Drosophila melanogaster: one gene and its partner. Changing the gene in region 1 together with any one later gene gives a genetic interaction. Each region holds a gene or a part of one and is shown on either strand. Other genes may lie near its edges.

Region 1 (8,611 bases):
ACTAACAAACAAAAACAAGTTGAGTTAACCGACGGTAACAGGAAAAAATCAGAACAAATTTCTGATGACGATTATCATTATAATTTCCATAAAATGAGTTATAAACAATAGAGAATGCGATAGTCGAGTTCCCCAGCTATCGTTACTCAGGTGGAACGACATATTTCAATATGTCTTTTAGAATATCGGCAGAAATTGGAAACCAAAATAATAAAATGGAAACTAATTTAAAAATTATTCCAATGTAGGCGTGACAGTTTTGGGTGGTTTGTGGGCGGTAGAGTGTGCGTGCCAAAATTTTTTTTTGCGAATTGGTAGATATGTACAAGACTTATAAAACCATGAAACAAATTTTTTTAGTTTTGGGCGGTTTGTGGGCGTTAGAGTGGTAATGGTTAATCTCAACATTCTAGCTTTTATAGTTCCTGAAACTGAAGCTATAAACGCTTTATTCTACCTGTTACATACTTTCCAACGAATCAACTATACCCTTTTACTCTACAAGTATTTTTTATCTTTGTATTTTGTATTTCGATGTCGTAGAATTCAGAAATTTTTTGTATGCTCTTTTAATGCGGTATACATATACATATATATGTACAATATTCCTGATTAGGATCACTAGCCGAATTGATATGGTAAAGTCTGTCTGTCCGTAAGGGGGCTGTCACCTCGAAAACTTTAAAAGCTTTGAAGTTAAGATAATGTATGCATTTCTTTCCTTTTTTCTGATTTTCGAAACGTAACGTTTTAAACGTTTTAATCATTCGTTAATCAAACAGCAATTCATATAACAGAACGTTATATGAATTTTTGTTAAGTGTTCTAAATATTTTGGTAACACAGACAGGACGAAATGAATTTTCTATCTATTAAATAAATTGATATTTAAAGAAAGCAAATTAATTTAGAAATATATTGACAATTTCCAACTAATTTATCTCTGTTATGGAAAATTAGTTTAGGAAAAAAGTTAAAATAACAAAAGGAACCGCTATAGATTTTCTCCACTAGCGCCACTCAACTAAGGGGAGAACGAGGGAGAAACTTTGAAACTTGATTGTCATATCCATAAAATTGTTTAGAATAACAAGAGAGAATGCTATAGTCGAGTTGCCTGAATATCAGATACCCGTTAACCCAGATATTTTTCTGCGATACCAAAAGATGTTGGGGAATAAAATGAGAAAAAATTTCAACAATTTTCAAAAGTGGGGCGTGACCGGTTTGTCGGCTTAAGGGCGTCACAGTGGGTGTGGCAAACAGTTTTTTTTTGCACATCGATCGGAATTTACAAGACTAATAAAGATGTGAAAAAATATCAATATATTTTTCAAAAGAGTGCTTGTGGCATTTTTTCGTGGGCTTGTGGGCGTTGCAACATGGATCAACAAACTTGCGCTGCGTCTTTGTCTCTAGAATCTGCATGCTAAATCTCCGCCTTCCAGCTTTTATAGTTCCTGAGATCTCGACGTTCATACGGACAGACGGACATGGCTATATCGACTCGGCTATTGATCCGTTATACAGTCGGAAACGCTTCCTTCTGCGTGTTACATTCCTTTAAACGAATCTACGTTACTCTACGAGTAACGGGTATAATAACCAAATAAAAAAGTCTAAACATATTTAAAAAATTTGGTTGGCGTTCGAATGAGATGGTGGAGGTATTTTGGCAAAGCGATACAAAGTAGCAAAAAATCAAAAAATGCAATGAAAAATAATTATAACATTTCACAAAAGTGTGGGTGTGAACCTTTTGGGCGGTTTGCCGTCGTTAGGGTGTGCGAATATTTCAAAACTTGCCCACGTACCACTATGTGAAATTTTACCACTTTTTCTGCCCAAAATGAATAACTCCAGGACGTTGAAAGATATTCAGATTGGGTTACAATATATCCGTTCTGAAACCGCCCCTTATATTTGTTGTAGTTTGTAACTCTAGAACGGATAAAGATATTTAAATTTTTTTGCCATTATCTTTTATGATACCAAAAATTGTGGCCGTGGCACCGCCTCTTATATTTAATTAACTAATTTTGTATAGGTATTTCCCTAATTTCGTATGCTTTTTCTAGTCCAAGCAAAGAACAACTGATTTCGTGGTAGTGGTTGCATATTGAATTATTTTACAAAAAAGTAAACACAAACATAATAACAAATTAATGAATCAATTCACCAACAGGCATTTTTAACTCCCTTTTAGCTAAAATTACTCTGCATTTGAACAAGTAGGGTAAGGACCTAAAAACTATAATTTCTCCGAAAATCGCAAAGAATGCACTTTTTAATTACAACTATCTAAACAAGAATTAAATAAGCTACAAAATAAGGTATATTTCATGAATGAGTTTTGTTGCATTCGCTTTAAATCCCTTTTGAAAGTTAAGTTTTTATAACAAAAATATTTTAGTAAGACAACATACATTTTTACGGTATAAAGTCCCCTTAATACACGATTTTTTGATAGTTTTGATAGTCAAAAACACATAATACAAACCACATTGAATAAAACTAATTTTGCAGAATGAAAAAACGCTATGGCTCAAAAGATATATAAATATTTGTATCAAGGGAAAAACTTATCGTTGCAGACAAAATTTTTTTTGTGCTTGCAACACAGCTTAGAGAATGATTTCTTTGTTTATTTATTTCTGGTATGCAGGAATAAACATTGGCCAATATAACAGAGACAAAGCTAATGCATATGTGAGGGATACACACACACAGTGTTTGTTCTACTTTGAAACACAAAACCGCGTCAGTGTGACACACTTATTGCGCCTTAGCACACACACCCACAGAGGTATTAGGTAAGGGAGAGTGACCCAGGAACGGTAATAATTTCACTAACTTGTCGAAGTCTATAAACCGTAAATATACCGCTAGGACATCAACAACAGCTGTTGGCCTCTAGGTCTGCAATGATTGTGATGCTCTCCGGAAACACGCACATGTGTGTGTGTCTTGTCTACCTTGGCAGTTTAATAAATCGGTTTCAATGAATGATACTAATACTAGTTGCGAATTTAACTCGAATTATCTCTCGGCTAATAAATGCGCTTGGTTTCGTTTGATTGCCACTCCTGATTGTTTAGCGTTTGTTTTAAAACTTTTTTGACACTTACCCAATGTGACCGCATACTGGTACTGAATTAATATCGATAAATATACCAATCTATTTCTAGGGTTAGATTCTGGGTATTCCTTAAACTGTTAAATTGTGGGAATGTTGAACCCTCAACATGAAAAAGAAACAACAAAAGAAAAAATTAAATTTCAATAAAACATTTCTCTGTAAGTAAATTCTTAAAACAATTTAACACTACAGTTGCTGAAGAAAGGTGCGTTTCACTTTCTATTTCTTATAGCAAAAAATAAGTTCCGTTAACCTTGTTGAATTTTGTTATCACTTGGACTCGTGTCTAAAACATTTAAGAACAATCCATTGACTTAAATTATAATGTTTTCGTGTGTTTTCATAGTTATGTTTGTTCGAATACCACAATACCAAGAATACCTTTACCTCATATTATGTTATATTGTTTTAATGTATAATGTTATAGGGTAATCAGGAAAAATTCGTACCTAGTTACGCTACTAGGCATACAATTCCAGGCTTCCTAAAAATGCCTTTTTATTAAATATTACCTCTTTTACTTACTATTACATAGAACTTAAACGGTTCAAAGTATCTGTTAACAACCTTCACCTTAGCAACGTACAGAAAAATGTTTCAGTGGAAACAAGCTATAAAAAATATTGCTTCTGCTTGAATTCATTATTTACAGATTTAGTACCTTTAAAGTATGTTAAAACCATATATCTTTTTTATTTATAGTTTATAATCAGTGACCGCTGTACTACACATCCCAAATCTTGGGATTTTAATGGTAAGGCCCGCGATGTGATTGGCGATGACACTATCGCAGTTACATCCAATCAGTCGTCGATATCTAAGCAGCCGCATTGCAACTTCTAAAAGAATTCGGAAAAGCGGCATCCAAGCGTTGCTTTAGGTAATTGCGTAGCGAAAGTTCAACGGAAGAAAGGAACTTTCCCGGGCCAAGGAGCAGCGCAAGCAGGACTCAACGACAATTTGCAAAGACTATTAGCAATGTCTTCGGCCAGAGACCTTATCAAAGTCGACATAGTAAGTAAAACATTGGCTTTATTTGGATGGTAACAACATATTTTTACTTATCGATGACAAGGAATGGGGCATGGAGCGCCTGGTGCGAGCTCAGCAAGTGGTGGAGCTGCGGCCCTATGACATCGAGTCCTGGAGTGTCATGATCCGAGAGGCCCAAACGCGGCCAATCCACGAAGTACGCAGTCTTTACGAGTCGCTAGTTAATGTGTTTCCGACAACCGCTCGGTACTGGAAGCTATACATTGAGATGGAGATGCGCAGCCGGTACTATGAACGCGTGGAGAAACTTTTTCAACGCTGCCTAGTCAAGATTTTGAACATCGACCTCTGGAAGCTCTATCTTACCTACGTGAAGGAAACCAAGTCGGGTCTAAGTACTCACAAGTAACTGTTATACCTTATTTAAATAATTCACATAATTTGACATCTTAGAAACTATTATAATTTTAGTCAAAACTTGCAATGCAGCGAGCATATTGTTTTTTTTGATGCACAACATTTGTGTTATTCTGACACGCTTATTTTATTGGACTTATCTCTTTTCTCAGAGAAAAAATGGCCCAGGCTTATGATTTTGCACTGGAGAAAATCGGCATGGATCTACACTCGTTCAGCATCTGGCAGGATTACATATACTTTCTGCGGGGCGTTGAAGCAGTGGGCAACTATGCAGAGAACCAAAAGATCACAGCAGTGCGCCGCGTCTATCAAAAGGCTGTAGTCACACCTATCGTGGGCATCGAGCAGTTGTGGAAGGACTATATCGCATTCGAGCAAAACATAAACCCGATTATATCAGAGAAGATGAGTCTGGAGCGATCTAAGTGAGTGTTATACGCAGAGTTTGCTAAATGTTCTTTCTAAATTCCAACTTAAAACCAGGGATTACATGAACGCTCGTCGTGTTGCCAAAGAGTTGGAATACCACACAAAGGGTCTCAATCGCAATCTGCCAGCCGTCCCACCCACACTCACAAAAGAGGAGGTGAAGCAAGTGGAGCTGTGGAAGCGCTTTATCACGTATGAGAAGTCTAATCCCTTGCGCACTGAAGATACGGCCCTAGTAACCCGTCGTGTCATGTTCGCCACGGAGCAATGTTTGCTGGTGCTCACCCACCACCCGGCAGTGTGGCACCAGGCCTCCCAATTCCTGGACACCAGTGCTCGCGTGCTCACCGAAAAAGGCGTGCGTACTAGTGTTGAAAACATTTCACCTATTCTCTGCGTTCCTGTAGTGAATCAAATAGAGTGGGTTATGGCCTTTGCTTGGTGGTGGGCAAAGGTCAAAACCAAAAACGAATCAAATATAGTCTCTTGTTTGCTAAGAAGTGTCGCCCCTCGGGTAAAGGAGCACGCAGTGGCACAACACAGATGGCTTTCCGTGGCTTGCCCCGTTGCCCCTGGCCAGGCCGCACGCGTTTTACTCTTATAACTAAGTCGAACTTTTGTGTATTTACATGTTTAATTACTTATTAAAACATTGCAGGACGTCCAGGCGGCCAAGATTTTTGCGGACGAGTGTGCTAATATACTGGAACGGTCTATAAACGGCGTGCTAAACCGAAATGCGTTGCTATATTTTGCCTATGCGGACTTTGAAGAAGGACGGCTCAAGTACGAGAAGGTGCACACTATGTACAACAAGCTGTTACAGTTGCCAGACATTGATCCCACATTGGTAGGAACACACATATTGAATATGTTTCATCAAATATTTGATACCATCGAAATTTAATACTCCAGGTCTATGTTCAGTACATGAAGTTCGCCCGTCGTGCTGAGGGGATCAAGTCGGCCCGTAGCATATTTAAGAAAGCTCGGGAGGACGTAAGGTCGCGCTATCACATTTTCGTGGCCGCTGCTTTAATGGAGTATTATTGCTCCAAGGACAAAGAAATTGCGTTCCGCATCTTCGAGCTGGGATTGAAGCGTTTTGGTGGCAGTCCAGAGTACGTGATGTGCTACATTGACTACCTGTCCCATCTAAACGAGGACAATAATACGCGCGTCCTGTTTGAACGGGTACTTAGTTCAGGTGGTTTGTCGCCGCACAAGAGTGTTGAGGTCTGGAATCGCTTCCTCGAGTTCGAATCTAATATTGGGGATCTCTCCAGCATCGTTAAGGTCGAACGTCGCCGTAGTGCCGTTTTCGAAAACGTGCGTTCTTTTACTACTTTATTTTAGAAATATGTTATAATAATATTTGTTTAAAGCTTAAAGAGTATGAGGGCAAGGAGACCGCCCAGCTGGTTGACCGTTACAAATTTCTGGACCTTTACCCCTGCACCAGCACCGAGCTCAAGTCCATAGGATATGCTGAGGTGCGTAACGGAATTTATTTATTTATAAAAATATAAGAAGAAAGAAGAAACAAACTAGCATCCATAACCGCGAAATAATTGGATTCTATTGTTATACTACATCAAACGATAACATGTGATCGTGTAGTAATCGCCATAACAGTTTAATGTCTGAATACATTTTTTGAAAATTGATTTCATTCATAATTTTTCCCATTTGAGACAGTTTGTAGGAACTCATTGGAAAGGAAAGAGCAAGACTATTTTATTTTATATGTGCGAAGAAGAAAGAGATAGCATATAGACTTACTGAATTTTAAAAAACATTTTTTAGCACAGACTGTTTTAAAAGTGTTCATTACGACATTTTTCTTCTTATAGCCAATCAAACTTTTCACAATACTTTTTATAGGGTCCACAAAATGTTTGTCTTTAATTACTTGTCTTACTTTAATCACCTCGTTCTGCAGAATGTGGGCATTATACTGAACAAGGTGGGTGGTGGAGCTCAAAGCCAGAACACCGGAGAGGTCGAAACAGATAGCGAGGCAACGCCACCATTGCCACGTCCGGATTTCTCCCAGATGATTCCATTCAAGCCGCGTCCATGTGCTCATCCTGGTGCCCATCCACTTGCAGGTGGTGTATTTCCGCAGCCGCCAGCTCTGGCCGCTTTGTGCGCCACCCTGCCTCCACCGAACTCCTTCCGTGGACCGTTCGTCAGCGTAGAGCTACTATTCGACATTTTCATGCGTCTCAATCTTCCGGACTGTGAGTGTCCCTGATTGAAATTCTCTTCAATTAACATTGAACAATTATCTTACTCAGCTGCACCGCAACCGAATGGAGACAACGAATTGTCGCCTAAGATCTTCGATCTGGCCAAGTCGGTTCACTGGATCGTGGATACAAGTACGTATACGGGGGTGCAGCACAGTGTTACGGCCGTTCCACCGCGCCGGCGACGACTGCTGCCTGGGGGCGATGATAGTGACGACGAACTGCAGACCGCTGTGCCGCCCTCCCACGATATATATCGCCTGCGTCAGCTAAAGCGTTTCGCCAAGTCTAATTAAGAAACGTTAAAAAAAAACCGATTTTTACTTTTTTCTTTCAATTAATTTACAAGAAACAAGAAATCCCAATAAAGCAAGCCATATTAATTAGGTTTAGTTTTGTTGGAAGCTGCTTGGGAATTTGCCTTCATGCTTTGGCATCACCGGTTGTAGACATTTAGGGTTGCATTGAACGATAGCATTAAATTTGTAATATTTTTCTTAATGTAAGTACACACTAACCTTTGCATCCATTTAAACATTTTAAGTGTACATTTGTTGTAAATAACTATTCAAGACAAAGTGCATTTTTCGATACTACATAATATTTTTTAATTTAGGCCAAAAAAATGTTATACATAACTCACAATAGTATATCTGTATACGTAAACATTAAAATCTCAATATAATGGTATAAATGGTACATGTTTATATCAATGAATTTCTGCATAATTTAAAGTTAGAGAGTAGAATGTAGACCTAGGAAGCACTCCTCCATTACCTCAGCTGGTAAGCATCGTCTACGGTGCTTATAAAGTCCAGCATATTGGGCGAAACTTTTTCCGCAGGGCCAGCATGAGTCGCGCTTCTCGGAGCGATGGAGGGTCAGATGGGCGTGGGCAGTGCCTAGCCCACCACAAACTCCCGGGAACGGACACAGCTTGTCCCGAATATTAAGATGGGCACGCAAGGAACGGTCCCTTGCGTGGGCCGTATAAAACTCCTAGTCGCACCTATTGCTGGTTTCTGTGTCGCTTAACATGCTGATTTAACTCGGGAGCAATGCTCGCACACGTAGGGCAGTTCCTTGGTGTGACTTCTTTCATAGACCCGCAAAGCCGTCGTGCTAAAAAACTTCTTAGGGCAGTTGTTACAAACGTGTATATGTAAATGTAATGTAAATGTAAAGATGTAAAAACTTCAGTCTACAAATATGGCATATAGGGGCCAGGTTTGGATTCTGCCGCAGGCCATCCTCATCGTTTAGTTTTGTACTTTATGCCTCCGGATCCAACCATCTGTCACGCTGAAGCTTCGGCCTCAATAAGTATTCTAGGCATTCGTTATCCGACGCCAGGAGTCGCGGCACAGCTCCATGTTGA
Region 2 (8,611 bases), 5.8 Mb from region 1:
TTTATGATAATCAGATCGTTACGAAGGCTTAATACACTTAAATGCTTCCATTTGAATGATTATTACAACTAGGCAAAATGGTGTACATAAATCGAACAATATAATACTTTTAATAATACGTTTGTACGGAATTGATACTTGGAAATCTATATAAACCTGCCAAATATCATTTTCGCTTAAGAAAAGAGTATTCTAAAATATTGATTACCAGTTCTTTAATTTTTTCAAAATATATATACATACATTGGTCGTTTTTCTCTCTTAATCTTGTTTTTAAAGCATTGCTATAATTACCACCATACGTTTCGAAATGGATTTTATAACCAAGTCCAAATTTAGTTAGATTTCCACAGCCACTAATTCACTTGTTTCAGCTCTTATACTAATCGAATCAGATAAGAAACCCCTAATGAGAATAATTGTCGCAAGTAAATGGAAAGAAACCGCATCGAATGGAAATGCAGACAGATGGGGGAAAAATAAAACACAAAGTGGAGCCATCGATCGTCGAGCGATTTCCCCGACACATAAAAACAATGAACGGCTGGTGCAAGAGCTTTCACCCCGCACTCAAATCGCGATGCAACTTTTGGTCATCATATACTATACTCCTTTGGGACAGTAACTCATCTACTTACCAAATATCCACGGATGCGGCGACCAGCAGTTGGACACAATCAAGGCAACCACGTGCGGCAGCATAGTGAAGGGCCAGAGCTCCTCCGTTGGGTCTTTCGCTGCCGGAAACGCTCCCCGGATGGTACATCTGGCCAACTTGGCCCATGCCGCCCAGATTCATCATACTGCCCACTCCGCCCAGGTAGGAATCCAGCTGGTGGGAGTGCATCCTTGTGCTCGGATTGATGCTGCTGCTGTGGCTTTGGTTGCTGTGGAGGAGCTTGTTGCTGTGCAGATTGTTTAGTTTGGTGTTGTGGCTTAGGTGCAGATTCGAATTGAGCGCATAATCGTTTATGGTTCTGCAGGATGGAAAGGAATAAGGAATAGAATAATTAACAATTTGTAAGAAAGTAGCTTAATGACTTATTAGCCAAATTATGTAGAGCAGAATGGTTCGTAAGGAACACAACCCTGCACAAAGACCTCAAACTAGCAACGGTATTTGACGAGATAAACCAGCACTCGAGCAGATACCATGACAGGCTGGAGCGCGACAGAAATCGGCTGGCCAGCGCTCTTAACAGATCTCGCCCACCAAGGAGGCTCAATAGAAGGCAACCGAGGGATCTCATTTCCCGATCTCCTTTGACAAGGGTCAGCAGAGAAAAAATATTGCATACTTTTCAGCTTGCTTTGTATCTCCAATTGCAGTCTACTTTTCTGCACCCCAAACAAATGACTTAAGACACAAACTTACACACTAAGCTAAGGACTTAAGACACGAACTTGCCAAGAAAGTGCAACACAATTTTAAAACTAAATATTTAATATATTATTGAAATTCATTTAACGCCTTCCTTTTTACTAATATCTAGGAACACTAAATAATATATAAGTTTACCTTTGTTGCGAAGCAAATTAGTTACAAATTTCCTTAAAATTCACTTTTATTTCATTTTTCTCTTTACTAATAGCTAATTGTTTTTTTTTTACTCTTGTTGCAAATCTAGTAGCATGTTCAATATAGCCCACGAAAATTGCTCATTGTTATTAAATTGTTTGCTTGACAGCCATTTAGGCACAACTTTTAATTAATTAATTGGCCGGGGGAAGTGATGGTTATTAATTTTGATGGCATCTTTGTGCGCATCTTGGGCTGCACTTGGATTCACTGAGTGCCCTTTTCCGAATCACTAAACCAGGTCAAGTCTGCTGCTGACTCACCTGATTGCCGTTTCCGCGGCACAAATAAACAATAACAATCATAATAATAATGCTAAGAGAAACAATACACACGGCGACACATTAATTGAAAGCTGAGAAGCAGCGCCGCCAGCATTAAAATGCGAAAATACCGGGCATTTGTGGATGGATCTCGTTTGTCTTTGCTCGTTTGTCGCTGCTTTCCTCTTGTGGCAACAAAAAGAAACAGAAAGCCGCGAAGACGACACTTTCTTCCAGTTTATTGCATCAACGCTGGCATCGCCGAACACACCAAATGGCAAATGGAAAATGGAAGCGGGCCGGTAGCAGGTGTCAACAAAACAGGGCAGGTGCCACCGAGCCCATGAAACCCACGAAAACCACAAAGCCAACATAGCCAACAAAGCTAACAATCCGACAAAACTCACAAACATTTAGCTGAGAAAGAAAAAAGTGAAATAAGCTATTTGGCAATAGCATTGCAGGCCAGTTGGTCAACTGAAGTGGCAAAGGGGGTTAAGAAAATTATGATCTTTAAGGGTGTTAAGAGGTGCCCTCTGTTTTTTGGCTTCATTTGATCGCTGGCTCGTGATATAACTCAAGTAAACAGAAAGTAAATACTTATTTTAAAGGTGAAACAACTAAATTTTACATTTCCAATTGGCTGTTCGCATTAGACTTATTGATTCGTGCAGCTATTTAAAAAATGTATTTGCTCAATACTCCTATATACAAAATATTTTTGGCTAAGATACTAATGAGCATGGCAAACGCATCCATGCGGTTAATACTGTAATTCAAAAAGCAAAATTATAAACCTTTCAAGGCAAGCTGCTTTAAGTGAGTATTAAACAATACAAATAGTTTAATAATCTACAGACTTTAGAGTTTGTTTCTATTAACCTTTCGTTCATAGCATCAAAACAAAAACATAAATAGTTAAGTAAATATGTATGGGAGAGGAAGGGGATGGTCAAAGTTCGGAAAAAGTGAAAGAACAGAGAACGGAAGAAAATAATCATTTAAGAAATTATACTCATGAAGATCTGTGGGTTTTTATGAAATGGGAAAGCCGGAGAGTTTGTGGGAAATTTGCAAGCTGCTTTCGATCCAAAAGTTCGCACATAATCCGATGGGTAAAAACTATAAATTATATACCCATCCCGGATTTTGTCGTGGCAACAGACTCATTAAATAATAATACGAGTTTCCAAAGATTTTTTAAAGGTTGCACTGATATCAAATATTTCGGGTAGCACTTAAAAAAATATAGCACTAAATATAGAACCATAGTCAATAAATTGATATTTCTTGCACTCCCATATTATTGTAGAATTTGCACTTGTTTGTAGTCTTTATCGACATATTACTGTAACTAATTGATTTTGGCGCTCGTCTATTTTTGCAGCTAATTTGTGTTCTGGTTTGCCGTTTTTGTTTATTTTTTCTAGCGATTTCTTTTACCTCAATTTGATGGCAATATCGCGGCACTTGACGCATGGCACCTGGCCGGATTCCTTGTCGGGCACTGCTGCACTGCCTCCTTTTTCCGCTGGAGCTATTGTGGCATATTGGGCCTCCTCCTTTTCCGGCTGCTCATCTGCCTTCTCATCCGCCTCCGTTTCGCTTGCGAAATCCACCACCAACTCTTCGTTGGATTCCCGGTTGGATGTAACCACTTGCCTCTTGCTAAAATAGCCCACATGTTGGTCCACTCCCGCATTGGCATCCAGCAGGATGCGCTCGTAGGCGGCGCTCTCGTTTTCCGAGAGGGCAAAGCGCTGCTCGAAAACCCGCACGGGCAGCGAACTTTTCCTTAGCACCTCCATCCGCTTGTGCCGCAGCTCGATGGAGAAGATCAAGCGGACGCGCACCAATCGCCGGAGACCCTGATGCGTTGACCTGGCGCGCTGTAACCTCCTGCGCTGCTGTCTCAGCTCCAATTTCTCCAGACCCTTCAGCGATTTGGGATCGACCAGACCGTGATTGTAATCCTCCACTGCTGTCAAATCCAAAGCGGATCGCGTGCGACGCCAGGGCACCAAGTCGAAGTGAGCACCCGCCCAGGGATGGAAGTTCACCTGGCTGACGTTGGTGCTGCGATCCTGCTTGAGGATCCAATCCGATTGCTGCTCCTTGGTCACACGAACGTGATCATTCCGTGCCGCTGCCTGCGGCTTGTGGCGTTTATATCGCGGCACCAGTGTCGCCTCCAACATCCGAGCATCCAGACCGTAATCGCGACGCAGCTGCTCCAGCTCCCTGCTGCTGGCCGTAAACTGAGCACCGTTCCACACGATCACCGGCGCACAACTGGCCATTGGATTCGTTTCGTGGCTTGTTCCTCTTCTGGTTTTGGTTCTATATACGTATTTGTACGTTCGTTCCCACCCCGAAAATTCGTTCCCCCAAATTCCCGAACTAGTTGACTTTATGTCACTGATTGCGTTCTGTTTCTGATTTTCTGAAAACCCGCTCGTTTTCCGGTTTCCGCTCGGCAATGTCGCGTTTGTCGCGTCCGCGCTCCGTGACGCCGGCGACGCAAATGTTCGCTGGCCAAAAAAGATACAACTTCAAAATCCGCAGTCGGATTCCTATGCAAAAACGTTGCGCCAGCTGCGCTGCCAGCCAAACGCCACTCATGATTAAGAGTTTTCTGTTGCTGCTCTTCTCTGTTATTGTTATTGTTATTGTTGATGTAAATGTTTTTGTTATTGTAATTGTGATTATGGGCTGTTTTGTTGGAGCTGCTGGTGTTGTTGGTGCCGCTTTGTTTGCCGATATGCCACTGCTGCCGCAGCTACACGCAGCTACAAATATTGCAAATGCCCATTTAATATCTACTTAAATTTTTTTTTATTAATTTTAACACACTTAACTATAATGAATACTCTTAATAATAGTAATAATTGTAATTTTGCAAATAAAAAAAAATTAAATACAATATTTACAATCTAAATGACCATATTTTTCAAAACAAAATGAAAACAAATTTACTTTTAAAAAACATTTTACCTTTTTAAATAGGAACTTGAGTGACTTCTGCGTCATTTAATACCTATTTCTTTAGTTATTTATTTCAAGTGTGACAGGATCGACAACTTGTAAAACTGTTCAATTATTCACTAACGGTCTACTTCTAAAACTTAGATTTATTGTATGACTTTACTGCTTTTTATTTGCAAGTTTATTTTCGTATTTAAACATTTTAATTTTTATCTTACTTTTCACTCATTTTAAATCACTTTCTAGCAGGTTCGGACTGAAGCTATTAAAGGTGATTTACATCCACTTTGCCCGGACTCAGGCTAGCATTTTCTCTCTGTGCACGTTCAACGTTTGCTCAATATTGAAGAGTCGCGGGCTTAGCTGCCCCTCTGATTGTATTATTTATTTATTTTTCACGCTCACTGCCATGTCAACTCTGCTCTGGGGCAACCCTCTGACGGCGTCGACGTCGACGTCGCTTCACTCGGCTGAGCACGCGTCAGCAACAACAGAAACAACAACACTGGCATGCATAGTAATATTAACTAAAGCCCATAGTTGTTGGTATTATCACCGCTGTTGCTGGCCATTCTGCAATTCGAGTTCACAATTCTATTCTCGGCTAATTGACGGCATCGGGCCATTGGCATTGTATTGGCCAAATTAACCAACAATTGCGACAGTGAAATAGGCCCTTTTATAGTCCACATATATAGTACAAATATAGGTTCATAAAACAATACTTGAAACGAATTAATCATATCTCTTAACTATAATTTCACGTTGATCTATTGGAAAATATTTTTATTATTTATCTGTTCATGAATTGTTGAAGATGTTATAATATATTTTATCCTATAACTATAAAAAGAATTATTTAAAATTACGTTTGTAAATATTTTAAATATGTAAATATTTTTTGTAAAACATATTTGTTATAGTACATAATAGTCTTTATAATTATTTCAGCTACTTAAGGCCAATTTCATCATCGTTTTCCATTTGCCTTGATCGAAGTTTAGCTAATTTCTATAGAAAATATGCAATTAAGTTGCAAAATATCCGCCTAGTGTTTATAGTTCTCATTGCCTTCTAAATCATTTGCCACACGAAGTGCCTATTGTACTCGAGGCATGCCAAATATCAATTATGCTATATACTTTATAGTATGTAACTATATAGAGTTTGTGCCCCTAGAACGGGCTCAACTCAGGCGTGGCGAATGTAAATGAATTGGGGCTGGCTTGCAGCTTCTTGAGTGGCAATTGAGCAACTCCACCTGCGCGCTTTTCCTCCGTACTTTTCCACCCGGCTTTTCCAGCTGTGTGACTCATGAAAAGCGTGTGCAGATGGCGTAAAGAGTTGCCTCGATTTCTGGTTCAATGGCGCTCAGGCTGCGGGTGTCATACGAATATTACGTGACATTCAGCTGCTGAAAAATTAAAAACTTGTAGTTAAAGTGCTTAGCCTCAACCTCGAACTCAAACTCTGCGTAATATCTTTCCCTCTGGGCCATGTGACCCAAAAAGAGCAATGAAAATGAAAACGCCAGAGATGAGAGCCATTAGGTGGCTTAGAAAGGCCGCCATTGAGTCGTAGTTATAATGCAAATATAACAGAGCACATTATAATGGAGGTCCATCCATACCATCCATCCGCATTTCACGTATTTGTCGCTTGCCATTCAAATTCAAATTCACATCTGGCCGAAGGCTGTCCAAATCGCATCCATTCAGTCCATCAAAGTGATGTGACATACATCCCAAGTCATATCGATAATATATTTATTGTATTTACATTGCCTGTGGGCATTCGGCGCTAAAATTGCGCAACGAGTGTGTATTTCGATATGTGTTTTAATTTGTAATTACCATAAATATAATAAAGCCAGAACCGTTATAATTTGTTTGCTGTAAATCTATCTCTATAGAAATTGTTAAGATTTCGCTAATCTCCAGAGGAAATTAAATAATATTGTTTTACAGATTTCTCCCAGGACAAAAGATTACATTATTATATTACACTATAATTTAAGCAGATGTAAAAGTCACACATCTAACAGGAAGTACTTATTCATAGCTTATTGTCCTAAAATCAAAAGAAGTCCTTGAAAATATTTCCTAAGAAAATTTCTATTTAATGTACTATTAATTTTTCTGACCCACTCTTAGCTTTTTTTTAACGGCTGGTGGACTATTAATCTGCGAAGTATTCGAAGTACGAAAATTAACAATTTGAAAACAGCTGAAATCATCAGCCAACAAATGCTTCAGTGATTTTGAAGGGTAAAGCCATAAAAAGGAAAATAATTTCTTTTGGGCGCGCTGGAAAACAGTTTGTTCGGTGGGTAACTGTGTGCCCCACTCGGCGGATAGGAAATAAACATAAAACATTAAGCAGCACCACTCGCAGCAACAAAAAAATTTTAATAGCACTGTGGTGGGGCAATAAAAACGAAAGAAGAAAATAAAACTGCTATACGGATTTACGAATATTTGGGTAATTGCGCAATACGGAAAATCGGGGGAATACATAAAAACTGGGTTAATTTTAAATGAATTTGACTTAATTTAAAATAAATATATACAATACATTTCAAGTTATATATATTTTATATTATAACAATTATATACAAATATTTGTAGACTTATGGTGCTTAGATTTCATTTACTTCCGATATTCGAACTACTGCGACCACATCTTGCATACTTTTACTTTTCGCTCCATTGTTTTATTTCTCGGTATTCGCCAATCAAAAGCAGAACAGTCTACAAGACTTTGATCGAACGGTAAACGCTTCGTTTTCATCCATCCGTCGAAGCGGTTTAGATCATCAAAGATCGAAGATCTCACATGGCACCTAAATATATCTTGCCCCATCCGTCAATTCAAATTCAAATTTTCGAACGGCCGAGAATCGAAACACGGCAAGTTTTCACTTTCGTGTGTGTGAAAATGGAAGAGGAAAAGTAGAAAGCAAAAGTCAATGTGCTAAACTGTCTAAAAAGAATTCTTCGGCATCTTCGGCGATCGGTGTTTAAAAGGTCGCACGAAAAAACAGGTTCGTTTAAATAAATCAAAGAAATTTGTATGATATAAATTCATTCTAGTTAAGAATGTTTTAAAAAGTTATTACCAAATTTAAGCTAGTTGTAAAATAATTATGAGCAATCTTTGATTTAAATATTTCTTTTGTGAGTTTAAGTTGCGCTCACATTTTTCGATAGCCCAAAAAAGTTCTCTGTGTACCTCTCTCTTGCTATCAAAATATGCCCGTCTCTTTCTGCGAATCTCCCGTGTTATTCATATGCAAATCTGAGTTTATTCAATCACTCATTTATGCGATTCAAATGAAGTTCGTCCGTGAAAGTAAGCCATGGCAAAAGTCCGAGAAACAAACATTTGTCCAACAATCAGCCGTCAACGAATGTTCAAAATGTTCAAACAAGACGAGACATCAGCGTCCGTCCGCTCACCTGAAGACTCACCCAAGTTGTGACAGGTCGTGGTCCATTCCATTACGCCTCCCGCCTGCCCTCCTGCCACGCCCCCTAACACCTGGCCGCCCCCTTGTAAACAAAAACTAAATGAAATCCCAAAGAGGAGAAGCTCGGTGAATGCCCTGCCTTCGAGTGGAGACTGAAAATGAGTCGACAGTCTGGCAAACATGAATGCAAATATGAATATGCAGAATACCCTTCACTTTGAACTGAACCACGTAGTCAAGAGCTTTGAGTTGGAAAACCTGAGGAAATCTGATGAAAAAGTTGTATGCCATTTGGCCGTATGTTTTTTCATCTAA

The links.
Region 2: of su(f) (region 1) and f, changing one suppresses a phenotype caused by changing the other (phenotypic suppression), as found in Drosophila melanogaster (3 studies listed by BioGRID).

Annotation. Positions count from the first base shown.
Region 1 is NC_004354.4:23,093,579-23,102,189, forward strand, and holds su(f) (suppressor of forked), read left to right. Parts: upstream 1-3,830; 5' UTR 3,831-4,117; coding exon 4,118-4,153; intron 4,154-4,214; coding exon 4,215-4,537; intron 4,538-4,701; coding exon 4,702-4,977; intron 4,978-5,035; coding exon 5,036-5,435; intron 5,436-5,639; coding exon 5,640-5,831; intron 5,832-5,896; coding exon 5,897-6,310; intron 6,311-6,366; coding exon 6,367-6,474; intron 6,475-6,923; coding exon 6,924-7,224; intron 7,225-7,281; coding exon 7,282-7,529; 3' UTR 7,530-7,853; downstream 7,854-8,611. UniProt on the Drosophila melanogaster protein: Essential protein, may play a role in mRNA production or stability.
Region 2 is NC_004354.4:17,255,006-17,263,616, reverse strand, and holds the start of f (forked), read right to left. Parts: upstream 4,244-8,611; 5' UTR 4,143-4,243; coding exon 3,286-4,142; intron 978-3,285; coding exon 639-977; intron 1-638.